7 linked regions of the Mus musculus genome follow. The protein of the gene in region 5 interacts with the protein of the main gene of each other region in a pairwise test. Links are inferred from orthologs where the notes say so. Each region holds a gene or a part of one and is shown on either strand. Other genes may lie near its edges.

Region 1 (3,746 bases), on a different chromosome or scaffold from region 5:
CATTGAAAACTGATATTTTCTTCTAAGCATGACATTAGTTATAAAGTAACTTTTGCTCTGTCATTCTTCCAGTATCATTTATTAAATGTTTCATATAATATTCATTGTAATCCTCTTTGGCTTCTGGATTATTTAAAATTGTGTGTGTGGTTTAATTTCTAAATTTTTGTGGCGGAGTTTTCTATCCTAATTTTCTCTTCCAATATACCTTCATTTTGGTGACTTACACATAGAGACTACACAAACAATAATTGCAGACACTTCCAGCAGTGCGCCTGAGCTAAGGGCCCAGTCACGCCTGTCAATGCATCAACACCTCTAGAGATGCTTCCAGCCATGGCTTTGTGGCATCTCAGCTGAGCTTCAGATGGAGCAGTAGGCAAGCTATCTCTCTGAACTTTGCAGGGTTTCTCTCCAAAGACAGGGTTTCAAGTACCCCGAGGCTGGCCTCGATCTCATCCTGAACTCTTTCTTGATCTTTACTTTCAACTGTGAAGTGCTAAGTTTCGGGGGTGCAGTACCATGCCCAATTTACAGTGTACTGAAGACTGAACACAGGGCTTCATGTGTGATAGGCACCCTACCTACTGAGTTACATCCTTAGTCCTCATTCTAAGTGTTGAGTGACACTTCGTAAAATTCATACAAAGCATTATGCCGCACCATTTCACACAGCAGCAGTGAGACTTCCAGGAGGAACATTTTGTTTGTAGAGTTGACGGCAGAAAGCATTATGAGCACTTGGTGATACTGAGTCACAAATGTAAAAGTGCAAGGGTGTAGTTAAAGAAAAGTCTTTATTTACGGTATTAGCTGGGGCCATAATAAATAATGCAATATGCTAATGTAACAGTAGAGATTCTCATGCATTACCACACTTATAAATATACAAGAAAGCTGGCTTGCAGGAGAGTGTACTTAGCAATACAGTGAAAGTGAGAATAGTAAGCCCACAAAGCAAACAGATTCTTCCCCTATCGTTGTAAAAACCACATTCCTGTGCACCTGTGAACAAATAGAAGTTCCCACATAGTAGCCTTTTTAAAAAAATTTTTATTTTATTTTCTTTTTTGGTAAACATGCTATAGTTAAATTAGTTACCAAATAGCCAGGGTCTATAATTTGTGATTTATTAGTATTTCTGATGAAAAACAAAATTAACAAAAATTGACTTCTGCATTTTGATATGGAGGCTGCTAAAATAATACAGTAAAATGAAATGAATGAAGTGATATTCCAGGCAGGTTTTTGTGACTGATTCCATTTATAAAAATGCTATAATATTGTGTTTATAATCTGGTAACAACCAGTTCCCTGACTGCAGAAGCGATGAACTTTAATTAAAGCTTAATTTTGTTAGTAAATTTCACAGAAAGGAGTAAAATAGGATAACCTTTAACATAAAGCTTTAGAACAAATAATTTAAACGTATCTTAAACACTGAAAAATGTGTTTTTAATTGTTATTTATAGTTAATTAACAATACCAGTGTTTAGCTTTATGTAGCCAGTCATGAATCCCCCTTTCAACACCTGGTTTGACAATCTTCCTTACAAATACTCAGGCAACTCAGTTGAGCGAAGGACAGCGGTCTGTGGTCCACAGTAACTCAATGTATGGCCATTTGGTTTGCAGACAGCGTTTAATAGGAGTGTCGTCTGTCTGTAGCATGGGGTCTTCAAAACCCATAACCACTGCAGTCCCTTCCACATACATTACCTGCCGAGAGGAAAAGCCAGGAGGTCAGTTAATGTTCGTAGCCAGTTCTCCGTAGCTACAGACAACGTCACAGGCAAGTGCATTTCTAAAAGCAAGTTACGTAGAGCTTCACATCTAACTCTTTTCGTAGGAATTATACCCAACTAGAGCAACTGCAAAACAAACTTGTGAATGAGATGGTAACATACATTTTAATTGTTAGTTAACTGGTAAAACTGATAATTCCAGATCAAGACAAAAAAAAAATAGGTGAATCATAAGCATACACTTTTAGATGACAAATCATTCTTCAAATGATAGACACCAGGGCATGTCTTCCCCTGCTGTCCACATGGCATGCTGTGTTTCCTCTGGCTGGGCTACCAAGGCAATCAGTTGCTCCTGCTACTCAACAGAGAGTTGCTATGCCCTCTGACTTGCACTTCTGTGCACTTCAGATTGAAAGATGACGTGCATGCATGCTAATGGAATCTGCTGTCTCTGGAATGAATGGTTTTTGAAATGCAGTTCTTGAGTGTATTTTACATTGTATGACAATCATGGAAGAAAAAAAAATCACAAAGATGTGAGGACAGACACAAGAGTCATGGAAGGATGACAGAGTAAACTAACCTGTGGAAATAATCATATTTGATATAATTTGTTGGGAAGATACCAGAAAACATTATTTTGCTTATTTTTTTTCAAAGAAAATACTTGAAATTATTTGACATACCAGTAGAACCCTAACTCACTATCAAGAATTCAAGTTATGTTAATTTTATATTAAATATGTAATTGAAAGGGGTGGCTATGAACTGCCCTTTTCCAGAGTATGTGTAGCTATTTTTACCCACTCAGTGTCTGATACACATGATTGCAATTCTGTTTTAACATGAAAGCCATAAGCTATGCGACCAAGGAGCCAAAAGAAACAAGCTTATCAGCCTTCAGCAAGAGTTCCCTTAAAAACACAGCTGCCTAGGCAAAGAATGCTACACTACTAGGTCACAAAATTTGGCTTTTTTTAGGGAAGTCCAAAGGCATTACGGTGAAATACAATTTCATATTTAAATTACAACTCAAGAGTTTTCAACCTCAGAACAAAAGTGCTACTTTCTAAAGAGTTGTCTAAAGGGATATAAGTCAGGACTGGGCCTGGTTCCCCAGTTGCTCACTGTATCAGAGCAGGAACCCCTCTGCAAAGCAGTGGGATCTAGTCTGTGCTTTCCACAGTGGCTGCTGCCTGGCCTGGTGGCTGCAGCCTGGACTAGCAGACCCCTCTTGGTTTGTTTGTTTGTTTGTTTTGTTTAGCCTGCTATCTTGAGTGGGACTTGACTGAGCACTCAGGCCTGTTTCTAGCCCCTGCATAACTTCAGGACCTTATACTTTTGTATAAATGAGATGCATGCGTTGCTTTTATGGTTGTTACATAGTATGTCATGTTAATTTTCCATATATCTTAATTTCTGATCTTGTGTTAGTATGTCAGATGCTTGTCACAAGCATGATTTGAAGACTTACTATATACAGGCAGCGTGGCCAAGAAGACCAAGGACAGGATTGGGAATCAGGAACTCAGTTCCAATCCCTGCTCTGTCAATGACTTGCTGTGTGACTCTGGGTGAGTCACTTAATCTCCCTGTCTCAGAGGCCTCATCTGTAAAATATGGATAATATTTGACTACCTTGCAGGGATTGTGGCAGTGAATTAATATTTCGTGATGACGAAGCTAGGCAAACTTCAACAACTAGGCGAGCATTCATTAATACACAATAAGAAACAGCACCCAGGGGCTCTTACTGATTGTACAATATTACAGATGTCAATAAACTCAGGAAATGATTTTTGGGAATATGAAAGGTTTTGGTTTATATTTTGTTATGAAAATAAAAGTAAAATTTAGCCTTTTAGTTTGGTTTTAGTGAAGTATGTAATTTACATTATGATGTAGTTTCTGTTGCCATCCTCCAAACAGCATGAGATCAAATTGAAAAGGCCTAACTCCTAATAAAAGACTGTGGCTTTTTCCAGAATAAATGTAAAC
Region 2 (3,897 bases), on a different chromosome or scaffold from region 5:
ATTTTAGCCTCTAGTTCTGGGAATGGAACCTAAGGCCTTTGCATGCTCCCGCCGAGCTGTGTCCCTGGCTCTGATGTGTCATTTCTTGAACAATCTAGATGAGGATGGGGACTTGGTTGCCTTTTCCAGTGATGAGGAGCTGACAATGGCTATGTCCTATGTGAAAGATGACATCTTCCGCATCTACATTAAAGGTAAAGGCTGAATCCGGGGCTTCCTTCCTGTGGGGCTTTCCTCGAAGGGTCAGGAGTCGGAGTTGTGATGCCTTGGGGTGGGTGTAGCGGGGCTGGGAGTTGTCAGAGGCACAGAGGTCCTGGCCTCCTAAGCGGTTGTCCTTAGCAACTAAGTTCTGGATGGACTCTTTGACTCTCCCTGCAGAGAAGAAGGAGTGCCGGCGGGAACATCGCCCACCATGTGCTCAGGAGGCACCCCGAAACATGGTGCACCCCAATGTGATCTGTGATGGTTGCAACGGGCCTGTGGTGGGAACTCGCTATAAGTGCAGTGTGTGCCCAGACTACGACCTGTGCAGCGTGTGCGAGGGGAAGGGCCTGCACAGGGAACACAGCAAGCTCATCTTTCCCAACCCCTTTGGCCACCTCTCTGATGTGAGCCGGGGCTCTGCCGTCCTGGGGCGTGGGGGGCATACAGGGTGGTGGGAGCTGGAAACCCTGACCCCTCACTCTCCTCCTGTCTTGCTTCCTCCTACCCAGAGCTTCTCTCATAGCCGCTGGCTTCGGAAGCTGAAACATGGACACTTTGGCTGGCCTGGCTGGGAGATGGGCCCACCGGGGAACTGGAGCCCACGTCCTCCTCGTGCAGGGGATGGCCGCCCTTGCCCTACAGCTGAGTCAGGTAAGACTGGTATTTGAACTAGCTTTTGGGTGTCTTAAGTAGCCAGCTAGTTCAGGTAGGCCCTTGGCCAAGCCATCCCCATAGCCTAAAGTCCAGAAGTACCCACACTGAGTTGCACATTACACATCCCTTTACCTTTTTTTTTTTGTCTTTTGGGGGAATGGAGGTTGAACCTAGGGTCTTACACATGACACATAGGGGTTCCTTTTTTGTGCTACACTCTATCCTTATCCATGGTATCAAACCCTCTTAACCCCGAAGAGACAAAGCATTTCTCTTTTACAAGTGGGTAAACAGGTGGCTGAACGCCTGAGCCCACTAATTTCCCTAAATGGCCCACCGTCCCCTGCCAGGCCGCCCTTGGGAGGCATGGGTAGGTGGCTGGATTTCTAGAATGTATTTTCTTTTGTTTTGGGTTAACTTGGGAATATCAGGGCCATAGGTGCTCAAATCTTTAAACAAAAAAACCCATGGTCCCAAAGCCAGGCGTGGCAGCACGTACACTGTAATCTCAGGCCTCGGCATGTAGAGGCTAGAGGACCAGAAAGTCAGAGCCAACTGTGGTATAAGATCCTGTCTCAAAATCCTGAAAGCAAAGAACTCACAAGTGGGTGGGCCCACACTCTAGATTTGGGGTTTCTGCCTTTTGATTTTTTTTTTCCCTCTTGAGTCTCTCTATGGCCCTGGGGAGCCTAGAACTCACTGTGTAGCCCAAGATGGCCTTAAACTTGAGATTCTCCTGCCTCAGCCTCTTGAGGCTTAGTTTATAGACATGTGCCAGCCCAGCCAGCCGGGCTCTGTGGATTTTGAGTAAACAGCACATCTAGGACAGGGTCAGTATTTATACATGGGCTGTACTGAGCCAGAGAGGCCCAACATGTGACCCACTAGGGGACCAAGCTTGCAGAGGGGAGGGGACAGGAGGAAGTACCAAGTATGGTCAGGCAATCCCAAGCCAGGAATTACCTCGATGATAGGAACCTTGGAACCCATGTGCTGGGACTGTGGTAGGTGGCAGTCACAGAATTTGAGGTCATCTTTCTTCTTGTAAAACAGCTTCTGCTCCACCAGAAGATCCCAATGTCAATTTCCTGAAGAATGTGGGGGAGAGTGTGGCAGCTGCCCTCAGCCCTCTAGGTGAGTGAGCTTTCTTGCCATCCTGTGAGATACCCTAGTGGCTTGGTGACTGTCTTAGTTTGGGTTTCTATTGCTGTGAAGAGACACCATGACCTCAGCAACTCTTATAAAGACAGCATTTCACTGGGGCTGGCTTACAGTTTGAGAGGTTTAATCCATTATTGTTATGACAGGAAGCATAGCAGCACAAGGCAGACATGGTGCTGGAGAGAGGGAGCTGAGAGTTCCACATCTGGTTTGAGATTCTGAGCCCTCAAAGCCCACCCTAGTGACTCACTTCCTCCAACAAAGCCATGCCTCCTGATAGTGCTACTCCCTATGGGTCTATGGGACCAATTTTATTCAGACTACCACAGTGGCTCAAAGTGCAAATAGTCTTTGGCAGCCTTTCCTGGCATGGTGCAGGGGCCAGGGCAGATATGTGTGCTCGACTCCAGCAAGGTTTTGTTGTGTAAAATTAGCCTTTGCTGCGGACTGGAATGGATGGGCGCCTGAAGGTTGAGCTCCTGGCTGACTTTGAGCCTTCTTCACAAAGCAGAAGGAACTAGTAGGGGAGATAGATTGGCAGATGGGCCAGCTGATCACAGCTTTGGGTAACAGCAGCCTGCTTTTTCTGAGCCAAGTGGGTTGTATTTGTTTAGACTTGAAAGCAGGCCGGTGATTTGTTCTTCTTTTCTTTAGACAAGGCTTCACTGTAGCCCAGGCTGACCTTGAACTTGTGTAATTCTCCCTTGGTCTACCAAGTGCTGGGATTTGTTTTCTCACAAGCCTCTCTGAGACGGAGAAGGTGCTAGAGTAGGGACAAGTGCTTTGGGTTCTGCCAGGCTCCATGCAAAGGACAGTGGCGGTCTGCTGAGGTGGTGGCCGGTGTCATCTCTATACTGTGATGCTAGGCACCGGCTGTTGGACACACTGGTGTGGTTTAGAAGGTGCTTGCCCACATCTGGTTACCCTGTTGGCAGTGTTAGTAGTTGGCCACAGGAACCTGTACAAAGGCTGTGTCAGTATCCAAAGGAATGCTGATGAAGCGTGTCCAAGCCCCACCAGTCTCCACTTCATCTTGTACCAGGTGTGACCACCGCTCGCTGCAGGCAAGGCCATCTCTGCTCATGCTGCCCCAGGGGCAGCTCTGAGGCAGTAGGGACATCCTGGCCTGGCAGTTAAGTTGAGCAGCTGAGGATGAGCCGTGCTGGAGCTCTGTGTTAGAGTGTTAAGACTGTGCGTTCAATTCCCAGCACCAACACCAAGCACAGACAGGGCAGTTCAGTTAGACCATGGCCTTAGCACTGGAGGAAGAGGCTCTTGAGAGACACAGCCAGCTGATGGCTTTCATCTCGGGCACTTGAAGCACCTGACCCTTTTGCTACATAAGCTAAGGCACCTGGAAGTGGGCATCAGAAATGAGCAAAGGAATAGGCGGCCCAGCATTTCAGCCTCACTGGCCTGACAACAGCTGAAGAATCCTTGCTGAGGGAAGGCCAAATGCCTAACAGAACACCAGCTCCTGGCAGCTGGGTTTTCTTGGTGCCTGCCTCTGGATGCTCTATATATGTGAAACTGACAGCGGTCCTGGTCATGCCAACAGAGTGTCTTGCTAGTGTCTTTAGGATCAGAAGCCATATATGACTATCTCAAAGGGTCATCTGGGGGCCAAATCCCATATGCGTTGTGGAGGGCCTGACTACTGAGTGTGCTTTCCAAGGAAAAGCCAAACCTGATGGGTGCCTGATAGCCATGAACCACAGAAAATGAAAAAGACTCTGGAAAGAATCAGGAGGTTATAATACAAAAGGGGAGATGTACTCTTGACAGTAGCGAGAAGACCTACAAGCCCAGTGCAAACAACATTTACACAGTGTTAGTAGTGTAAATACTTTTTTGCTTGGTTGGATTTTTTCAGCCAAA
Region 3 (4,380 bases), on a different chromosome or scaffold from region 5:
CCTTTAACCCCCCTTTCCCTCATCTGCCTCCTTCTTTCATGTCTTTGGTGGTGGTGGTAGTAGTGATATATGTATGTATGTATGTATGTATGTATGTATGTATGTATGTATGTATGTATATTTGATTCTCCTGCCTCTACCTTCCAAGTTTTGGGATTTGCCAACATGCCTAGCTGAAAACAATATTCTTGAAGTTGGTCTACAAACCTAAGTGCTAAAAATGTAGGTATATTTTACAGATGAATATTCAGAAGTTCTTGAAAATTCTCCGAAGAAATTGCCCAGAAACATTAAAAAACAACAGATAATAAAGTGTCAAACGAGGTCACATAAGTAAATATCTTTAAAACACAAAGCCAACAAGTACCTGCTACGTGCTAGTGATTCATATATGTAATTCCAGCTATTCAAGGTGAGTGGAGCATGGAAAACTCCTGACTACAAATCAAGGTCAAGTGCACTCTTAGTGGCATTTCAACATTAAAAAGTAATAAAAAAAAGCCAGGTAGTGGTAGACAAGCCTTTAATTCCAGTACTCAGGAGGCAGTGATCAGGTGGATCTGAGTTCAAGCTGATCTATAGCTGGAGTTCCACTTTACCCAGAACTATGCAGAGAAACCCTCTTCTGAAGAAGAAAAAGAAGTAATGAGGACTGAGTATGAAGCTCAGTGCTGGAGCCAATTTCCAGGGTTGATGTCAGTGACAAGGGCATCAGCTAAGGAGGTTAGTGATTCCCTTTCTAAGATAAATTAAGGATACTGGTAAGGGATATGCCAGTATGAGTCAAAGGATACAATGTGTATATAAACTTTATTTACTTGTTTGTTCCTCATTTTATTCTATTATTGTATATGGGTTTTATGCGAGTATCCATAGGACACTCCCAAAATGCTCCTTGCATCAGAATCATACCTTGTGAGCAACAACTGAGTTTTCATCAACAGAATTCGGAAAATACACAAATCAGAAACCCAGAAGAGTTCTGAGCTATGCTCTGTTTTTGAAGCCGGACACTAGTAACCAAAGGGCAAGACTGCAGTAAATTCCCGTGTGAGCCCAGCCTAGGCCACAGACCATGATCACTTTCCCTTCCCCATAACCGCCCCCACCCCACCCCACCCCCCAAAAAAAAGACATAACAAAAACTTGCTCGGTCTTCTGGAGTCTTTTCTTCCACAAAAGACTTTTATCTACCGTAAAAAGAAGGCTGTGCAATTATCTCTGGGACCCTACCCGACACAAGCAGCCACCACAGCTCGAGATCTACTCCACTGGCTCGGCCCCTTGTACCCCGTACCCCAACGTTCGCAACCGGCCTCTCCGCGGCTCGCCCCGCCCCTAGCCCCTCCCGGAACGCCCCGCCCCTCGGCTCCTCGCCCCGCCCTCTGGCCGCAGGCCTCTGCGGCGGCCTAGGCGCTCCTCAGCGCCTGCTCAGTGCGGGCCGCGGTGCGCGAGGTGGCGAAGGCCGCGGCGCAGCCATGGCGTCGGCCACACTGGGCAGCTCGTCGAGCTCTGCGTCCCCGGCCGTGGCCGAGCTATGCCAGAACACCCCGGAGACCTTTCTGGAGGCCTCCAAGCTGCTGCTCACCTACGCCGACAACATCCTGAGGTGCAGCCGGGGCCCTCGAGCCTGAGGGCCGCAGGCGGGCGGGGCCGCGGACACTCGGGCCTGAGGCGGGGCGGGCTGGGCGACGAGGGCCCGCCGAGGCTGTCACTGAGTTTGACAGCTGTGCTGTCCCATCTCGCTGCAGGATCCCGGCGCTGTGGCTCAGCCCGAGTGCCAGTTAAACGTTCACGCCGAGTTTGGCGGTTGACACATTTATAGTTTAAGTTACGAACTTTGTGTCAAGTCACCTTTGTACTGAGTGCAGCACTTTCCACAACTGGCTGGGAGTTTGAGTCAGCACCTCCCATGGCCGCTCCGGTCAAAGAGTGTGGGGAAGGGATGCGGAGGGGCAGACAGTGGAGGTCACTTCAGTTGAGCCCCTGGGCGCTGGCTCTTACAAACACACCGACCCGAAGTCTGTAGGAATTCTTAGTTTAAAGGCTGTACAGTTCATGCGGACCAGCTTTAGAGAGTTAGTTGTTAGAGACATTGAGGTGTTGTCCTGTACCCCAAACTGGCATGGAACTTGATCTGTACCCCAGAACTCATGCCAGTCACGACCTACCAAAAGCTGAGATTACAGGTGTGTGCCACCACAACCATAATTCTTCATTTAGGTGACATTAGTGATATTTAAAATATATTTGAAAAGGGAATATAATGTGATTCTATGCCAGATGTTATGCAGCATTTGGGCTTGCACATAATTGTGACTTGTGTGAAGATGGCCTTCCTCCTTTATGACACCTCAGCTTAACCCTGAGATCTCACAGCACCTCAGAGTACAAGGTGTCTGAAAGAACTCATAAGCTTGATTCTCCAGAGCCCACAGCTGGCGTTTCATACTGAATTGTTTAAGTCTTCAACCTCCCACCCCCATACATAAGAGAAGGATGGATTTGTAAAGACATTTCGATTCTGTTAGTACAATGAAACCAAAGATGCTAAGATCAGAGTACTTTGAAAGATAGCTTTGCATGCAGACAGTTATTTCGGATCATGACCATCATTATGAATATTTACTAAATTTCTTAAAGAAACTGGTTCATTTTACAGCCTTTACTGTGGCTTACATTTCTGATCTTGGAGTTTTTGTTTTATAAAGGAAATTAGAGCAGTTTGTAAGAGAAATGATTCAGGTTGATGTGAGAAAATGCTCCTTTAGTTTGTTTTCAACAAGTGTCCTTGTGTTCTTAGAATTCAAGGTCTGGCTTGGTTGGGAGATGATATCCTGCTTCTTCATGTCCAAATCCAGTGACTTCTTAACTCTTAAGGAAAAGCTCCATGTCTTCCTGGTCCCTGACCGCACATTATAATTATACTTCTGTAATTTGGTAGAGAAAATCAGGTTCCTCTTTGCATTGCTATTTTCTTTTAAACCCACTAGTGCCATAGTGGAGGCACTATTGAAGGCATATTGTCCCAGCATCTCATTTGCCTCAGTATCAGAACAATTTATAGAATGGATATGCAAATAAAAATGCATTAGCTTGTTTTGAAGTAGATACTTGTCACTGAAATCTACAATGAAATAATACTCTTAAATTTCTGCTTGAATATTTATCATATCCTAACAGTAATAAATCTAAATAAGCTCCAAAAGAAATGTGTGCTAATTTGTATGCAAAAGCTGCCACCCATTTTAGATAAGATGAGCTTACTATGGACTTTATCAAGAGCAAAACAAAGCAACTCTGTATTAGTTTTCCTGACATCACAGGTGAGCTGCTTAGCTAATTTGATTCATGAACCAGAGTTTGGTTTAGAACTTTTCATGTACCTAAGAATAATGTTGAACTTCTTATCCTCCTACCTACACCTCTAAGTTACAGGTGTGGGCTACCACAATTGCTGTTATGAGCTGCCACAGATTGAGCCAGGGCTCAATGAATGGGAGGCAAGCACTCTACCATCTAAATGGATCCCCTGTCCCTAGTTCATTTATTCTTTAATATAAATATTTGATATTGTACTGTTTTGTTTACAAAGCACACATAGTGTTTGACTATTAACTGTACTGAGTGAAGAACCAAGAATCAAACATAGTTTCTTTGTTCAAATAATATAAATGTATTTGGGAGAAGAAAGGTTTGAAAAACAGCTACAGTGTAACATCAAAGAACAATTCCAAGACAGTGTTAATGTCTCTGTCTTTATATTTTTATGTTAGGAGGTAGTAGGGAGACCAAACATGAGACATTTAGTGAAGGGATAGGCAAAGGTGACTCACAGTTTCTACAGTGGAGTTTCCGGGAGGAAACCATTAGAAGAAACAGGCATTGATTATGAAGTCACTGCATAATCATAACAATAAACCCAATGGAATGGAGAAAGAGAATTTTCAATGACAATGCAAGAAGTAATAGAAGACAAAAAACTTCTAATTTTTAATGTAGGTTGCCACTGACACGTAGAGAAATTGAGTGTAATTGAAAGTTGGTGAGTCTGCTGGCAGCTTGTGTGGTGGTATATGTATAAACATTTTAACCAGAGCAGTAAGTTTCAATTTTAGTCAACTATTTTAAGTGTCATTATAGGCAATTTACATATAATTTCCAAGTTTAAGTTTACCTTATAAAAGGAAGAAAAATACTCTATTCTAGGACTACCCAACATAAATGACCTGGCACATATATCGCAACTACTGAGGTGGTTGCTATTATTATTATTTCTATTAAATTAGGTGAAAAGTTTGGTGGAGTGTTTGACTGTTTGTTCTTTGAAATTTCATGTCTGTAGCCCATTGTTTATTCTTCATCTCTTTCCCTGTCACC
Region 4 (3,897 bases), on a different chromosome or scaffold from region 5:
CAGGCACCAAAGAAAATCATTGAGAAAACATTACTCGAACAATTTGGAGATAGAAATTTGAGTTTTGATGAAAGGTAACCTAAAATCCCAAAGCATCTACTTCATGTGTTCATACTTGTCTTATTCTGGTTTGGTTTGGATTTGCTAATCTCAAGTGTAAATCTTTTGTTTGCACAAAAACTATAACAAATATAGCACAAACCTACCTTCCATTAATTTGATTGTTTGCTTTTCCATTTCTCTTAAAGTTTCTATCTATGGCCTTTTAAAGTTTTACCTAAAAGTAATTTGGATAATTCAAATTATGAAAGAAAATGTGATTTTTCACCGTCTATACTGTGGAGATTTTAGGCTAAGTAATTTTATTGTCAGGCTTCCATGTGGCTTATCAGATACAGCAGCAACTCTAACCAATACTGAGAGAAGCCAGTCCCTTGGGTTAGAAAGACCCAAGCATCTCCCATATATTCCCAGTAGCCACTGGAAGCTGGAGGTGAGTTTGCTTCTCTGAGACAATCCATGAAGAAAGTCGAGTGTATACAGAAATTTTGACATAAAATAGTTAATTTTTTCACTTGCAACTATATTTTGTCAGAATCTGTTATAAAACTAATGTTATTTTTTTTCTTGTTAGTCTGAATATCATTTAAAAAAGACTCCAAGTATAGAATTTCAAGATACTAAATGTTACTTTTTTTTTTTTCTGAAACACTTTATAACCATGATTTGTCTTTTGGAACTCATTGTATAGACCAGGATACACTCAAACTCACAGAGATCTTAAATCTGATTTCTGAGTGCTGGAATTAAGGGTGTGCACCACTGTATCCAGCCCTTTTTTAAATCTTTAAAATTTTTGTTCATGTTTGTGTGCATTGTTGGGGGTTGGGAGTAAGACATGCTTGACATGGTATATGTGTGAAGTTATTTGTGTGTGTTGCTGGGGTGGTGAAGGGGGTGAGACATGCCTCCTGTGGTATATGTGTGAAGATCAGAGGACCACTCTAGGCACTTGTGAGAACTGCTGATTGACAGTGATCAGGCCACCAAACCTTTGCGTCATCCCACTGGCAATTGTGAAGATTTTGTTTTTATGTGTTTGGAAATTTAGTTTTATGCAACATGCTTTTATGGTTTTTATGGATTTTGTTTTTAATTTAGAAATGCCTTTCTTATATTTGAAGGTGTCACAACATAATGAAAGTTGCCCAAGCCAAACTGGAAATGATCAAACCTGAAGAAGTGAACTTGGAAGAATATGAGGTAGTGTGCTTTTGGGAAATACTGACCTCTAGTAGACACATTGCATACGTCATAATGGAGAATGGAACAAAATGTTTTAAATGGCTAAAGTGTTTTAAAGAAAACCTTTGGTTTTTATGTTTATAAGTGCTCTTGTATTTCATAAACCAGTTTTCAATTACTTCTATACATAGTTTTTCTCTTTAATAAGTGCAATTTACTGCATTAATGTTGAAATTGCAAATAAAGAGCCTGCTGAATGTTCTTCTAAGCACTGCGGGTGTATTGACTAATTTAATCCAGATATTATCCTCCAATTCCATGGGACAATGGCACAGAGAGGTCCTCTTACCTCCACACAATTACCCTGGGAAGCGTGCCTCTCTCTTCCCCACAGCCAACACACACACACACACACACACACACACACACACACACACACACACACACATAAATTTGTAAGAGAATGTTTAAAAACAGCCAGATGTGGTGGTACATGCTTTTTATTTATTATTTGTTTTATTATTACTGGTCTGTACATGAACACAGGAGGTATAGGGATAGGAGCTGAACGGGCTGAAGGTTTCACAGGTAGGAATTTACAGCTCTCTGACTGCACACAGAACCTACAAGTCTAACTGCCCTTCTGTCTATCCTGATTATTTGCTATGTTTTCTGCTTTCCCGTTGATCCATCCTACATGTTAGAAAGACATTAAACAGTCATTTTAGCCATCACGTGGCATCTGACATGGTGATCCTCAGACAGTGCTGTCTCTGAGTGTGTACATGCACACTTGTCTCATGGCTAATGAGATTTGTCTGGGTGTATAGACAAAATCCTTTGTTGACATTGGTTTGAAAATATATTTTAACTTACCAAATTTGAAATGTAGTGTCTATTTGTGCTTTTAAAATTAAGTTTGAAAAATTTACTTTTACGTATGTCTTTCATTAATCTTTGGTCTTATTTACAAACTTTTAACTTTGCTGCTTGGAGTTTCTAAGGGCAACTTCAGAATAGGTAACAGGATCTTGTAGGATTTTACCTTTTTATGGTTATCAACTCATAGTATCAAAATTATGACTTGCAAGAATTGAAATTGTGTGTTTGGGGAAGGGCGACGTAGAGAAGAATGCCCTCCTCTGCATTTGCCCGTCAGAACGGAGTCGGAGCAAGTTTACAAGGTTTGGTGGAACTATCTCTAGATAAACCTTATATTGAATTTTTTATTTTTTAACTAATTTTTATTAAGCATCCTTTAAAAAGCAGGGGCTCTTGCTGTTGCTGTGGCTTGTTGGCCCTGAGTGTCCCTGCCTACCATTGCTTGTGGGAGAGGGAGTCTTACTTTTCACCGTAGGTCAGCAGAGTGCTTGGCAACACGATTGAAATCCCCCATATTTCATAATAAATAAGTGAACTATGGCATTTTTTATTTCCTTAAAATTCTATATCAAGCAACAAGTTGGAGCTCTGGACAGAACTGCATCAATAGAATGTTCCTGTCTGGACTCTTCTAATATTAGTACATTTTATACTGAAGAATGTCTTCTGGGAAAAAAAAAAAACATTTGGTCATCCTGCCATTTCATTATTTTATGCCTTATATTCTTAACCTTCTAGTAATATTAATTTCTAACCCCTGACTAAATGCCTGATAAGTATTGTTACTACTATAATTATTATAATTATTATAATTAAACTAAAAAGTAGTGTGCTAAGTTATTTAAATTTTAAATTCATTTCTCTTTGTTTGCAAAACTATCAGAACAATACATTGTTTTATATTCTTACCATAGTTTTATTCTTTTCATTTTTACTATTTTATATACAGGAGTGGCATGCAGATTATAAGAAATTCCGAGAAACAACTATGTATCTCATAACTGGACTAGAAAACTTTCAGAGAGAAAGGTAAGGCAGAGAGGACGAATATGGGAAAAATGTTTGTTCTTATCATTAATGCTATTCAGTAATTCACATCTGATGCAAAATATCCATAGAATACACGTTAGGGAAAGTTTTAGCTCAAAACAACTTTAAATGATAGAATATTTCAAATTTAGTACAATGTTAAATATCCTCACTATAAAGTGTATTTTGTTTTTACTCTAAATCCAAAAGGTTGCCATTTGTGTTTTTGTTTTTCATTAGTTACTTTTTTGTTTCGTTAAAGTTTGATCAATAGTTTCCCACATGTACACATTGCATGTTCACAGTCATATTGACCCTTGACCCTCTCCCATCTCCCTCCCTGACCTCTGCAACTCTGCCCCACCAAGTTCCCACAAGCATTCATGTCTGCTCTTGTCTGGTTTTCTTTTTCTTTTTCTTTTTCTTTTTCTTTTTCTTTTTCTTTTTCTTTTTCTTTTTCTTTTTCTTTTTCTTTTTCTTTTTTTCCTTGCCCATTGAGTTGACCAGGGCTGAGTTAAAACATGGTTTATTGTGACCATGAGCTTGGATACGCCTTTTAGAGCCTAGTGGACTATAATGGAAAGTTTTGTATGAAACCCATCCATAAAATATGGGAACAAAGGGGCCCAGCATATGTAACTAGTTGCATTCCCTACAGTGAACCTGGGGCGTCACTGGTTACTATATTCTTCCTCATCTAAGCTTGACTTACATCAGAGGCCAGTCTTTGTCTTCATCTGA
Region 5 (3,623 bases):
GGGAGTCTCCAGGTCTCCGTGCCTCAACAGGCAGTGGAGGTGGAGCCTACCCCATAGGCTTTTGTGTATTGAGTGTTGCCATTGAAGTCTTCCCAGAGAGGCTGGACAGAGAACGTGGAGGGCAGGGATGAGACCTTCCTGTCCTGTCAGGCTGCTCACTTGGGAGAGGGGAAGGGGATCTGTTTGAAAGAACTAAAAAGCAGGATCCCTGACAGGGAATTCCAGGAAGCCCTGAGCCTGAACATGGTTCTGTCCAGGAAAGCCAGGCGCCTGAGCAGCCGGCCACAGAAGCAGGTGAGCAGGTTGGATGGTGTCCTCATGGGCATCTGCAGTCTGGATTCCGAAGCCCCTGCAGGGAGGGCTCTGACCACACTTCTTCCTGCCACCAGCAGGGGAGAACCCCCTGGAGTTCCTGCGGGACCAGCCTCAGTTCCAGAACATGCGGCAAGTGATTCAACAGAACCCAGCGCTCCTGCCTGCTCTGCTCCAGCAGCTGGGTCAGGAAAACCCTCAGCTCCTGCAGGTGCGGCCCAGGGTGAGGGAGCTGAGACAGCCACCTTCCCAGTTCCTTAGGGGATCACCCAGGGAGGTAGCTTTGCTCTGAGAAAGCAGAACTAGCAGAGGCCAAGCCCCTGCTCCCTGATGACTTCTAAGGTTACATTGTAACCTGACTCCTAGGGAGGTGTGGATGCTATGGGCATCCATCTGCTGAAGACATCAGAGGCTCAGAGCAGGCTGCCATATGTCTGGCTGGGTCCTGGACTCCAGCCACAGCATTCTTCTCAGTTCTTGCTCTGTCTGCAGCTCCTCTGTCCTGGCCTTCTTCCTGATCTGACCTTCACCTTGACCCTCTCTCTATGTGGTGACCTAAACCTGTGTCATTATACCAGGTCCCTTGGGACCCTCTCATCTGAGCTGTGAAAGGATTTCCTGGACCTCTGAGTTTTCAGACCATTCTTCTCTGTTTGAGCCTCTCACAACCTCCTGGGGACTCTCTCTGCTTCTACCCCAATATCAGCCATTTCTCCCACCCAGTGTCCTGGCATCCTCTTCTCGAGCCTTTTAATTCTACACAGGGCCCCCGATGAACTGTCCACCTAGAGGCTAGATTGCTGAAAAGGCCCTTTTTAATGTGAGAATTGTCAGATGTCTGAAGAAGCAAAGGGTGGCATCAGAACCTCTGGATTTCCAAGTAGAGTGTATTTAATAGGTACCGTGGCTGGTCATGGTAGTGTACACCATTAAGCCCGCACTTAGGAAGCTGAGACAGGAAGATCACTGAACTTGAAGCCAGCCCCTTCTAGTAGTGAGATCATCTCAAAACAGAGAAAACCTAAAGGTTGTGCAGCTTGAGTGCCTCACTAGTGGGCTGCTGCTCTTAGCAGCTGCAGGCCTGGGTTCCACGGTGGCTTTCCTCTGCCAGGGAGAACGTTCAGCTTCTCTGTGCTGTTCTTGCCACAGAGCTCTTCTGAGATTTGCCCAGTAGAGCCATCCCAGGACATTTTTACAGGCTGTGTGTTTTAGCCACACATGGCTCTACCACAGACAGTAGGCCCCTCCTACAAGGCCTTAGGGACTTACCTAGCACATCTGCAGTTAATTGGTTTGAACTTTGTTTTTGTTTTTTCCCCCTTTAAATCTCACTATGTAGGTTAGGCTGGCTTAAAACTCAGGTTGATTCTCCTGCTTCAGCCTCCCAAGTGCTGGGATTACAGGTATGAACCACTATGCCGAGTTTCGGCACATTTATTTAACTTTTTTATTTGTCTCACCATGGAGCTCTGACTACTTTGAAACTCTTCTGTAGACCAAGTTGGCCTAAAACTCAAATCCACCTGCCTCTGCCTCCCCAGTGCTGGGATTAAAGGCATCTGCCACTATTTCCATCTCCCCACCTTGGCACCATTTATTTCCACGGCTTATTTCCATGGCTGCATGGCTGTTTAGCCAGAGCATGCACCTTCAGAGTATTTGACAGTTTGGTATAATAAGCAAGGGGTATAACATGGGACTTGGGCATAGGTGATGAGGACTGTGAATTCTCACCCTTCTTCTTCTCACAGCAAATTAGCCGTCACCAGGAGCAGTTCATCCAGATGTTGAATGAGCCTCCCGGGGAGCTGGCGGACATCTCTGATGTAGAGGGGGAGGTTGGTGCCATAGGTGAGGAGGCCCCACAGATGAACTATATCCAGGTGACACCGCAGGAGAAGGAGGCTATAGAAAGGGTAAGAGGCCTGGCTGAAGAGCCATTCATGGTGGGTAGCCCAGTACCTCCCCCTTCTTACCATTGCCCATCTTCCCACAGCTGAAGGCACTGGGCTTCCCAGAGAGCCTGGTGATCCAGGCCTACTTCGCGTGTGAAAAAAATGAGAATTTGGCTGCCAACTTCCTCCTGAGTCAGAACTTTGATGATGAGTGATTCTGGGAGGCCAGGGCCTCCCCCCTTCCCTCCCTCCCCACTCCACAGACGTTTATAAGAGAAAGTATATATATATATATATAACATATATATATTCATGTTTAAGAGGAAGAATATCAAAAACCATTAAAAAAACAACAACAAAAAAAAACCCAGCCCAGCTTCCCACCCTCCTGAAGTGGCCCCCATTCCCATATCAGTCCGAGAAGACCTGGGCCAGACAGCTGTCCCCGTCCTCTTAACAGCCCAGCCTACTCAAAAGTTGTTGGCAAGACCATGAGGCGACAGATGGGCCCCTCTTGGCCTCTGTCCCAGCTCCCTGCAGCCAGATGGAGGGGCGCCTGCCTGCTTCCCCATCCCTGAAGCATCCCCAAGGACAACCCTCCTTCCTCCACCATGATGAGGGGAAGCTGGAGCCCTAAGCTTTGATCCTCTATTGGAGTGGCCCAGATCTTTCCATCTGGAGTAAGTCTATGTTAGAAGCCAAAGGCCTTCTCCCCAGTCTGGCCTTGGCCTCCAGCCTGGAAAAGGGGTTATCATCAGTTCTGAAGGCCAAGGCCACCCCTTCCCCAGGACAGAACCACATCTCTGATAAAGGTTTTGACGTGAATAAAGTTTTAAAAATGAGCCCTAATAATGGTTCATGCCTACTGGAGCTTCTCACAGCTGTTTGTGAGTCTGAGCTAGCCGGGGGCACAGGTGAAGTGGGCATGCTGAGAAACGGGGAGGAGCCTAGGAGCCTTACAGACGGGCCCCAGCATCTCCTCCCTCTGGAAACTTGGGCCCCTGCCTCAGCTCAACCCTAGAAGGACTGCTGCTCCTTCTATCATGCAGTCTGTTTGGCTGTACTCCCCCTGGTAATTGGCTAATTACTGGAGATTAATGTTGGTAAACAGAAGCCTCCTCCTCTCCTGCCATCTGCTCCTTCATTATTTGCCCATCCATTCCCCTTTCTCTCTCCCCAAAGCCCCAGTTCATGGCATGGCCTAGTGTCCAGGTGTGAACACAGCCAGGTGGAGGGATTCTCCCGCCCAGGTGTTGGGGAATGAGCCGGGCGACCCAGGAAGTCACAACTTGAGGGAGAATGTGTAGAATATGGGTTGTCAGCAGCTGGCTTTATTGGGAAGGGAGCTTTCAGGAGCTGGGTTCACCAGACACTGCTGAGTCCTGGGCTTCAGCAGAGGCCATAGCAGCAATTCGT
Region 6 (4,507 bases), on a different chromosome or scaffold from region 5:
GTTCTCGCACGAGCATGTGGGGCTTTGCCCCCGGAGCGGCTAAGCCGGGGGTCCAGTAGCAGCGCTCAGCTACATCATGTGGACGTGTGGCCCTTAAACCTGCTGAGGCCCCGGGGTGGACCTGGCTACGTGGACGTCTGTGGCCTTTTTCTGTTGCAGATGGCTACCATCTTAAGCATGGTGCCTGCCTGGCACAGTGCCCGGCTCCGGATCTTCCTGTGCTTGGGGCCCAGGGAGGCTCCTGGGGCAGCAGAGGGAAGGCTTCGGGCCCTGTTGAGTCAACTCAGGATCCGGGCAGAGGTGCAAGAGGTGGTGTGGGGTGAAGGGGCAGAGACTGGCGAGCCTGAGGAGGAGGAAGGGGACTTTGTGAATGGTGGTCGAGGAGACGAAGAGGCTGAGGCTCTAGCTTGCAGTGCCAATGCCCTGGTGCGAGCACAGCAGGGGCGAGGCACCGTAGGAGGCCCTGGGGGACCCGAAGGAAGGGATGGGGAGGAGGGACCCACCACAGCCCTTACCTTCCTGTACCTGCCTCGACCGCCTGCTGATCCTGCTCGCTACCCCAGATACCTGGCACTGCTGGAGACCCTGAGCCGTGATCTGGGTCCCACCCTTCTTATTCACGGGGTCACTCCGGTAACCTGCACTGATCTCTGATGCCTGTTCATACAGGGTTGGATAGAGCGGGCCCAGGCTCATTCTGAGCAATGGACGCCCCTCCCCCCGCCCCAAGTGGGCCCTGCCCTTTGGATGATGTGTTAAGGGGACCATGGTCTCCTTTGGGCGGGGGAACGGACATAGTACACTAATTCTAGGTGGCTGCCCCATTGTAGGGGAGGACATTGCGGCCCTGTCCCTGGTCTTCCTCCGCTTCCTTCACTGGTGCCTTGACCAGAGGGGCTGGCCTCTTCTGTGACTCTAGGCTACCTCAGTGTCCCCATCCTGGCCACAGACGCACCGCCTCCCTCTCCCCGACTTCCTTGGGTGGTGATGTTTGTGTTTTGTTTTATTTTTCTAACTACTGACCATAAATAAAAGACCGAAACACTATGGGCTGGTGGAGCACTGCTGGTGGGTAGGTGAGAGGCAGCCGGGTGGGAAGGGAGAGAACCGTGAGGGGGTGGAGACAGATGCGTTCAGAGCCTGGGCCGAGAGGCTGCCACGTGCAAGACTGGGGCAGGGATCCGAGAGAATTGCTGGGCCAGAGCCTCTCAGAGCGGCCTGCAGCCCACCCTGCAGCTTGGCTCCGGAGGAGGGCGGTCTTCTCTTAACAGGAGGGGGCCAGAGAGGGGAAGGATTGTAGAATAAGGCTTGGGGCCACGTGACCCTCCCCTGGAATGTGGTGACGTCAGGGGGCGTGGTCGTCTCCAAAATTGGGGAGGAAGGGAGGAAAAAAAGCCAGAAAAAGTTTCTTTGCGGGAGTCCCAAACGGGGCGTGGGACAGTAAGGGAGGGAAAGGGCCCAAGGCTCCGAGCTCCAGGCTCTGAGCTTGTGGGGACCCTGACCTCTGTCTGGAGTGGAGTAACCCTATTCCAGACCATGTCCGGGCCCACCTGGCTTCCCCCGAAGCAGCCAGAACCCTCCAGACTCCCTCAGGGGAGATCGCTGCCCAGAGGCGCCCTGGGCCCGCCAACGGCCCACGGAGCAAGTAAGTGTTCCTCTCTCACACACGCCGGAGTAGCAGAAGAGCCGCTGGCCACCTTCCTTCACCTTTTCTCCCTTGCCTGCCTGCTTCCTGCTGTCCCTTTCCCAAACCAGAGGCCCCAGCTCTTGTGCAACTTTCCCTGACTCTTGGTTGATTCCCAGACTCCCGGGAATGTGAAGAAGGAGAGCCACCCTTAGAAGGGCAGCTCTACCGAGGTACCCTTCTCCAGTCCCACCTCCTGTCTCTCCCTTTAGCACTCCAGCCTCACCCCAGGGTCAACTTTTGCCCCCTCCCGCCTGAACACTGTTATCAGCCTCCGGGGGTACCGGAAGATCGGGGGCCTACTTGGGTGGGATCCCATGGAACACCCCAGCGCCTGCAGGTGAGAAGTGGAGATGAGGGTAGGGTCTCTCAGGGTCAAGGTGAAAGAAGTCTAGGTCGGGGGTGTCATCAGCATTTGTTCTTCCTCCTTTCCCTCTGTCTCAGGGGCTCCCTCCAGACAGGGGGATCATCCGCCCTGGCAGTCTGGATGCTGAGATAGATTCGCTCACCAGCATGTTGGCTGATCTGGACGGGGGTCGCAGTCATGCACCTAGGCGGCCAGACAGACAGGTGACTTCCTGTGTTCTGTCTCTGCTTCCCCATCCTCAGCCAGTTCCCTGCCCTAGCTTCTCAGCCTCAGTCCACCCTCTTCACTGCCCACCTACCCTCTTTGCAACTAATAAACACCTGGTTCAAGGAATCACGCACTTCCTCCTTGGCAGGCCTAGGCCATGGGAACTTGTCAGAAGTCATTGCTACCCTGGGGTTCCCACCTGGCACGCATGGATCTTGGGTCTGGCTTTACTGTTTCTGCATTGCTTGTCTTCCCAGGCTTTTGAGGCTCCCCCACCCCATGCTTACCGCGGAGGCTCCCTGAAGCCCAGTGGAGGTGCTGTTCCAACCCCGATGCTCCCAGCATCCCACTATGGTGGACCTACCCCAGCCTCCTATGCTACCGCGAGCACGCCAGCTGGCCCTGCTTTCCCTGTACAAGTGAAGGTGGCTCAACCTGTGAGAGGCTGTGGACTGCCCAGGCGAGGGGCCTCTCAGGCCTCTGGGCCTCTTCCAGGCCCCCACTTTCCTCTGACAGGTCGTGGTGAAGTCTGGGGGGCTGGCTATAGGAGCCACCGAGAGCCAGGACCGGGGGTTCCGGAGGGACCTTCTGGAGTACATATCCCTGCAGGAGGAGGGAGAGGAGGTGGGCATGAGCCTCAGGTAAGCTGGGGCTGGGCACTGTGGTTTGTGGTCACCGGAAGTAACTGGGCATTGATTAGGTGGCGTGGAGGCCGAGGAGTACTTAAGATACTGTTTTTAGGAGATGTTGGTAGAGTGCTTGCTTAGTATGCAGGAATCCCAAGGTTCTAGACCCAGCACTGTATAAACCAAGTGCGGGGGAGGTAGAGGCAGGAGAATCAGTAAATTAAGGTCATATTTGACGCACATAATGGGTTCCAGGCCAGCCTAGGCTATATGAGACACTGTCTCAAATATAAATAAGTGCATAAGTCAATCCCAGTTTTAAGGTACTCAGAGGTCAAGGATCAAGATGTCCAAAGGGAAGGGGCTTCCTTTCCCCCTATCAGCTTCTGAGAGATGTCCTCTGAGATTTTGGGGTTCCTGACTGTATGAGTTATTTATGGTGTCTGAGACTATAGGCAGCGCCTCAAAGCCCCAATTCTCACTCTAGGGCCCCTTAGGCCAACCTCCTGAAGAGGAACTGGAGAGACTGACCAAGAAACTGGTGCATGACATGAGCCACCCTCCCAGTGGGGAGTACTTTGGTGAGCTGACTGCTGGATAGGGTGGAGACAGGGAGGAGACAGAGGATCTGCTGTTGTGGGTCTGTGGAGGCTGATCTCGTTCCTCTCTGTCCTCAGGTCGGTGTGGTGGCTGTGGCGAAGATGTGGTGGGCGATGGAGCTGGGGTTGTGGCCCTGGACCGTGTCTTCCATATTGGTTGCTTTGTGTGTTCTACCTGTCGGGCCCAGCTCCGGGGCCAGCACTTCTATGCTGTGGAGAGGCGGGCATATTGTGAGAGCTGCTATGTGGTGAGCGGCTGGGCTGTGACAGAGGGATGCTAAATGAAGCATCAAGTCAGACAGGCAGGTTCCTGTCTAAGAGAGGGCCAGATACTCAGTCGGGTGGGACTGGAAGTCGGGTGAGGTATAAGAAGGAAGAAGCTAAATGTGGTGAGTTGGGCCTATCTGGAGGAGAGCCTGAGCTGCAGAGCAAGTCTGAAGGCAGCCCAAGGCGCAGGTTTCCCAAGATCAATTGGTCCATCACCCAAAGGAACATCTTGGGTTTTGTTTCTTTGATTACTTGTTTGCTGTTTTGAGATAATACGTCTCATGTCCCAGGCTGGCCTGAGACTCTTATGTGTAGCTAAGGAAGACCTTGAATTTCCTCCTTCTATCCATGAGATACGGGGATTCTGGGTGTGGGCCACCAGACCTGTTCTTTGTGGTGCTAGGAATGGAACCCAGGGCTTCGTGCATGCTGGACAAACACTTTACCAACTGAGCTATGGCCCCAGGCTAAGGAATGAGTTAACTGTGGAGACTAGATGAAGGAGGGAAAGACAGCTCCTCCTTTCAAGCGGGTGGGTGCCTGCCTGCCTGCCTGCCTGCCTGCCTGCCTGCCTGCCTGCCTTCCTTCCTTCCTTCCTTCCTTCCTTCCTTCCTTCCTTCCTTCCTTCCTTCCTTCCTTCCTTCCTTCCAGACGGAGTCTTACTGTGTAGCCCAGGCTGATCCTAAAGTTATGGTTCTCCTGCTTCAGCCTCCCAAGAGCTAGGAAACCGGATATGTGCCACTGTGCCAGCTGGAAG
Region 7 (4,344 bases), on a different chromosome or scaffold from region 5:
CGGCCATGTACAATTCTGGGAAGGTTTAGAATTAAGTCCAGAAACAACTTAAGAGCTGAGCTTTAGAAATCTGTGTCGCCTCCAAAGTTCAGGCTGAAAGTTCACTCGCAGAGGAGGAAGAGTATTATAGGAGCTTTTAGGGGGTGATTAGGCCACCCTGGGGGGAGGGGTGCTGCCCTCGGGGACGGGATTAGCATCCTAATAAAGAGATTTGGAGGAGTAGGTCTGCTCTCCACCTCATCCCTTCTACCCATTTTACTAATGAAGGCACAGCACTGTATTTACCCTCATTATGTATGCCACGAAGAGGTGCCTTCCGGGAAGCAGAAAGAAGCCACACAGGGCACCATAATCTTGTGCTTCCCAGCATCTACCAGTGCAAGAAGTAAATATCTGTTCTGTTGTTTTCTTCTAGACAGGGATTCCCTGTGTATGTAGCCCTGGTTGGCCCGGAACTTGATCTGTTGACCAGGCTGGCTTCCAAAACAGAGAGATCTGCCTGCTTCTGCTGGGATTAAAGGTATGCAACGCCACGGCCCAGTAATATCTGTTCCTTCTATGTGACCTGACCTTCGGTAATCTTAGTAGCACATATGGTCTACAGGGTCTAAGATAGGAAAGTCTTAGAATGAAATGTTAGAACACTTAAGAGGGACTGGGTAGATGGCTCAGCAGTTAAAAGCACTGGCTGTTTCTCCAAGGATCTGGGTTCAATCCCCAGCACCCACATGGAGGTTCACAGCCATCTCTAACATCCATGTAAGGGGATTCAACACCCTCATCTGGCACCAGGCAAGCACTTGGTATACTGGCACAAAGGCAGGCAACACACACACACACACACATATATATATAAATCTAAAAAAAAAAAAAAATAGAGAGAGACTCGAGTTTTGAAACTATACTTGGAAAGGCCTCACCGAGAAGATGACATCTGAGTGATTGGTGTCCATAGCAGGAAAGAATGTGTATCTTTGAAACTACTCCAGGCAAACCAAACAGCAGGTGCAAAGGCCGTGAGGTGGACAGGAACAGATGGAGGAGGGATGGGTGGGGAGAGGAGGTCACTGTGGTGTGCCAGTAATGTCGGCTAACCCCAGGGTCTTGGGAGGCGGGGCAGGAAGAAGTAAGACCAAGGCAACCCTGAGAAAACCCTCATCTCATAATAAAATTAAAATTTAAAATAAGGGGCCTGGGGATGTATCTCAATGGTAACATTTACCTAGCCCATGCAAGGCCCGGGTTCAAAATACACACACACACACACACACACACACACACACACACACACACACGCCACACGCACACACACCACACACACCACACACACACACACACACACACCATGGGGGTTTTGGATTTTTTTATTTTTTTAGTAGGATGTGAAGGAGCCATTTAAGGTTTGGAGAGGGCTGGGTTTAGTGGTAGAGTGCCTATGTGACATGCATGGGTTCAATTCAAGTACAGGATAATATCAGGTGTGGTGATCTATGCCTGTAATCCCAGCATTTGGTAGGGGCTGCAAGAGAATCAGAGGTCCAAGATTTAGGGCTAGCCTGGGGTACATGAAACAGTGCCTTCAAAAAAAAGATATATAAAATAGCTTTTTAAAAGAGGAGTTTTAAAACTTATATTAACGTCTTTGAATATTAAAAAGTATATAATTGTGCCAAAAATTTGCCTAGTGCATCCCAGCCCTCCCGAGGTGGAGGTAAGATCAAATTTTCAAGTCTAGCCTGAGTCCGCTTTAAAACAAAGAATAAATAGGTAAATAAAAGTGCGATTTAAGTGATAAAATCAGCGAAGGTTTTGGTACTTTGGAGACTGTTCCGGGACGCTGCAAGAACAGGGCGCCTTGGGGGGCTGCCACGTCTCAGCTCCCTGCCTAGGGATGAGACTCCCTAACCATTAGCGTTTTATTTTTCCCCCTTTCCCCTTTGCTAGGTAGAATAAACAGCCGGAACCCGTAGCCGTCTCATAAGAAATTAAGTGCAATATTTCGTCAAAGTGAAACCACTCCATTTACTAAAGTTCTGCAAATAGAAAGACTTCTAGGTGTTGGCGGCGTGTGTGGTTGGGTGCCCGCTAGGTGTGAATCCTATTCCAAACACGTCTCGCAAAGACGTGGATTACGAATAACCGCACGGTCAAGGGCGAGTAAGCGCGCCAGAGCGCGAAGGGACTAAAGCCGACAGTGTCTCCAGGTGGGAGATGCCAGGGACATTCTGCCGCGGGGCCAGCTGGGGCTCCATATTTCTGCCCTCGGTTCTAAGCCCAGAACTGTCGCGTCGTGATGGAAAACCAGAGAGTGGAGGGCGGAGTGAGACCGCCGGGCTGCAGCGCCCCGCGCCCCGCGCCCGACGTCTGCAGACACGCCCGGCCCCGTGGCGCCGCCTCGCCGCCGCGGCCGTCAGGAGGCTCGGGCGCCTTCCCGCCTTTCCCCGGGCCGGGCCAAGGCTGGCGGCGGGGCGGGCGCGGGCGGCGACGGTGCAGCCATTGTCCCGCAGCCGCGCCCGGGGCCGCCGCCGCCGCCCGCGTCTCCTTTGTGGCCGTCGCCGACCCTCGGAGCCGCCGCTCTGCGCCCCCGGCTGCAAATGGCGCCGGGTGCCCCCTGCGTCGCCCGGCGCACCGGCTGGGGTTGCAGTCCCGGGGCGCACCCCGGCGGCTCCGCCGCCCTCCGCCAGGCTCTGGGCCCGGCCCGCAGCCCCGACGCCCGGGCCGCCCTCCTCCCGCCCGCGCCCGTGCAGCCACTTACCGCGGGGCTCTAGCCGCTCGCTCGCTCGCTCGCTCGCGCGCGCGCGCGCTGCGGAGCGATTCCCGGTTCCGGGTAGGGGAAGCAGCCCCTTTCCGAAGCCGAGGCTTTGCGCCCTAAAACAAGTAGCCCCAACGTGGGAGAAACAAAAGGTATTTGCTGACGTGGGCGTTGGACAGAAACGCCCGAGGGCTGAGGACACAATTAAAGGGGCAACGCACAGATTTCAGGCACCAACCAGCAGCTTCGCCCACTCCCCCTGTCCGTGCCCACGCCCGACTGCACCCTCCGCAGGCACTAGGGCGCCCAGGTTCCCCAGCAGTTGATTGGGGATCATTCTTTTAGTCGGGAGCTTAAATTTTAAAATTGTACTTTACGTTGGGAAAGGCGCCTCCGGAGGGCAGAAGGGCTGGATTTCTAATATGTGGAGATATTGGTTCAAGGAGAGAGGGAGGGACTTAGGCGTGCCCACAAATACTGTATACATGTGACATTATTGTACTTAAGTTTAGCGACGTAAAATGGGAGAGAGTTCCACAAAATCGCCCTTTGACGAAGCACTTAATTTCAGTTATAGCCTTTTAGAAACCTCTGTAGGTCCCCATCAAGCCCTTTGAAGAGGCAAGCCCGGAGGGGCTGAGATTAAGAGGCCGTGATTCTTTATATAAAACTAGTACAAAACAGTGTTTCGTGTTTTCAAATATAAAAATTGGTCGTAAAATCAAGTTTCTCTTCTGACGTGACCCTAATATTTATGGCACACAAATATCAGGTGATACATTTCCTAAAATAGTAAACCGCTGAATTTTCATACTGCTTAAATTCCACAAACTAAATTAGTTTTCTACTTCTTCACGCTGATTGTCAAGTAATGCGGAATGGGGGAGAAGATTCAAAGTCTCAAAGCATGCGTTTAATATTTTGAGGCGTTCCTCTCCCAAGCCTCAGTCAAGCCCATCAGGGTCCTATTTCTCCGATCTCCTCACTAAGTAACTATGTATTCGAACATCATTCTCTCTGAGAATACAATACAGTCATTTCTGAATGAAAAAAAAAAAAAAAGGAGAAATAAAAAGGAAAGGGACATGCCTGGTCCTAGGTATAGTGGAGGAGAAAGTTTATTATAGATATGTGGGAGAGCACAGCCAGAGGCAGGAACATCTGGGAGAGTACAGAGTGAACTGAGCTGTGCCCTGTGATGTGGGGTGGGGGAGGGAGGAGAGAGAGCAGCAGAACCAAGTACAGCAGGAGACCCAAATTACAAAGAGGGTAGGGAGCCAAAATGGTTGGATTATATAGGGAAGAATAGCTCAGCCCCCTGGACTGGAGGATTCAAGCTAGGGGGCCGGATATGCCAGCCTAGAGGACCCTGTAACAGGTATTGGACTGAGGGATGCTGGGAGAACCTGGTGGCCAGGTCAGCTTTGACATGTTAACTAGGCACCCCAGCTATTTGTCCCAGGTTTGACACCTAACAGTTTCTTAATGTCACACCTGTTTACCCCAGGGGTGCTCTGTGATTAAGATTCGTTTCCTGGACTTTTGAGGTAATGGGAGATAATGGAAGGAAAGGTAGACCAGTGCTTATTTGA

What was found.
Region 1: the proteins of Rad23a (region 5) and Mindy3 interact in binary tests that used the Homo sapiens proteins (3 or more experiments, as listed by UniProt). The two-hybrid records come from large-scale screens. The link is inferred for Mus musculus from reciprocal best matches to the Homo sapiens genes RAD23A and MINDY3.
Region 2: the proteins of Rad23a (region 5) and Sqstm1 interact in binary tests that used the Homo sapiens proteins (3 or more experiments, as listed by UniProt). The two-hybrid records come from large-scale screens. The link is inferred for Mus musculus from reciprocal best matches to the Homo sapiens genes RAD23A and SQSTM1.
Region 3: the proteins of Rad23a (region 5) and Ngly1 interact in binary tests that used the Homo sapiens proteins (3 or more experiments, as listed by UniProt). The two-hybrid records come from large-scale screens. The link is inferred for Mus musculus from reciprocal best matches to the Homo sapiens genes RAD23A and NGLY1.
Region 4: the proteins of Rad23a (region 5) and Usp25 interact in binary tests that used the Homo sapiens proteins (3 or more experiments, as listed by UniProt). The link is inferred for Mus musculus from reciprocal best matches to the Homo sapiens genes RAD23A and USP25.
Region 6: the proteins of Rad23a (region 5) and Trip6 interact in binary tests that used the Homo sapiens proteins (3 or more experiments, as listed by UniProt). The two-hybrid records come from large-scale screens. The link is inferred for Mus musculus from reciprocal best matches to the Homo sapiens genes RAD23A and TRIP6.
Region 7: the proteins of Rad23a (region 5) and Zbtb8a interact in binary tests that used the Homo sapiens proteins (3 or more experiments, as listed by UniProt). The two-hybrid records come from large-scale screens. The link is inferred for Mus musculus from reciprocal best matches to the Homo sapiens genes RAD23A and ZBTB8A.

Annotation. Positions count from the first base shown.
Region 1 is NC_000068.7:12,346,485-12,350,230, forward strand, and holds the end of Mindy3 (ubiquitin carboxyl-terminal hydrolase MINDY-3), read right to left. Parts: intron 3,359-3,746; exon of another isoform or gene 3,223-3,358; intron 1,720-3,222; coding exon 1,570-1,719; 3' UTR 780-1,569; downstream 1-779. UniProt on the Homo sapiens protein: Hydrolase that can remove 'Lys-48'-linked conjugated ubiquitin from proteins.
Region 2 is NC_000077.6:50,204,118-50,208,014, reverse strand, and holds part of Sqstm1 (sequestosome-1), read left to right. Parts: intron 1-98; coding exon 99-194; intron 195-378; coding exon 379-608; intron 609-713; coding exon 714-855; intron 856-1,911; coding exon 1,912-1,992; intron 1,993-3,897. UniProt on the Homo sapiens protein: Molecular adapter required for selective macroautophagy (aggrephagy) by acting as a bridge between polyubiquitinated proteins and autophagosomes.
Region 3 is NC_000080.6:16,247,889-16,252,268, forward strand, and holds the start of Ngly1 (peptide-N(4)-(N-acetyl-beta-glucosaminyl)asparagine amidase), read left to right. Parts: upstream 1-1,425; 5' UTR 1,426-1,478; coding exon 1,479-1,609; coding exon of another isoform or gene 1,610-1,611; exon of another isoform or gene 1,612-1,920; intron 1,921-4,380. UniProt on the Homo sapiens protein: Specifically deglycosylates the denatured form of N-linked glycoproteins in the cytoplasm and assists their proteasome-mediated degradation. Cleaves the beta-aspartyl-glucosamine (GlcNAc) of the glycan and the amide side chain of Asn, converting Asn to Asp.
Region 4 is NC_000082.6:77,107,990-77,111,886, forward strand, and holds part of Usp25 (ubiquitin carboxyl-terminal hydrolase 25), read left to right. Parts: coding exon 1-74; intron 75-1,184; coding exon 1,185-1,263; intron 1,264-3,076; coding exon 3,077-3,156; intron 3,157-3,897. UniProt on the Homo sapiens protein: Deubiquitinating enzyme that hydrolyzes ubiquitin moieties conjugated to substrates and thus, functions in various biological processes including inflammation and immune response.
Region 5 is NC_000074.6:84,834,360-84,837,982, reverse strand, and holds the end of Rad23a (UV excision repair protein RAD23 homolog A), read left to right. Parts: intron 1-215; coding exon 216-294; intron 295-389; coding exon 390-523; coding exon of another isoform or gene 524-604; exon of another isoform or gene 605-1,894; intron 1,895-2,063; coding exon 2,064-2,228; intron 2,229-2,308; coding exon 2,309-2,422; 3' UTR 2,423-3,056; downstream 3,057-3,623. Other genes in the region: Gadd45gip1 (growth arrest and DNA damage-inducible proteins-interacting protein 1), read right to left, coding at 3,557-3,623. UniProt on the Homo sapiens protein: Multiubiquitin chain receptor involved in modulation of proteasomal degradation. Binds to 'Lys-48'-linked polyubiquitin chains in a length-dependent manner and with a lower affinity to 'Lys-63'-linked polyubiquitin chains.
Region 6 is NC_000071.6:137,311,098-137,315,604, reverse strand, and holds the start of Trip6 (thyroid receptor-interacting protein 6), read left to right. Parts: upstream 1-1,363; 5' UTR 1,364-1,536; coding exon 1,537-1,645; intron 1,646-1,896; coding exon 1,897-2,024; intron 2,025-2,128; coding exon 2,129-2,254; intron 2,255-2,515; coding exon 2,516-2,899; intron 2,900-3,371; coding exon 3,372-3,465; intron 3,466-3,561; coding exon 3,562-3,731; intron 3,732-4,507. Other genes in the region: Slc12a9 (solute carrier family 12 member 9), read left to right, coding at 1-654. UniProt on the Homo sapiens protein: Relays signals from the cell surface to the nucleus to weaken adherens junction and promote actin cytoskeleton reorganization and cell invasiveness. Involved in lysophosphatidic acid-induced cell adhesion and migration.
Region 7 is NC_000070.6:129,374,985-129,379,328, forward strand, and holds the start of Zbtb8a (zinc finger and BTB domain-containing protein 8A), read right to left. Parts: upstream 3,045-4,344; 5' UTR 2,756-3,044; intron 1-2,755. UniProt on the Homo sapiens protein: May be involved in transcriptional regulation.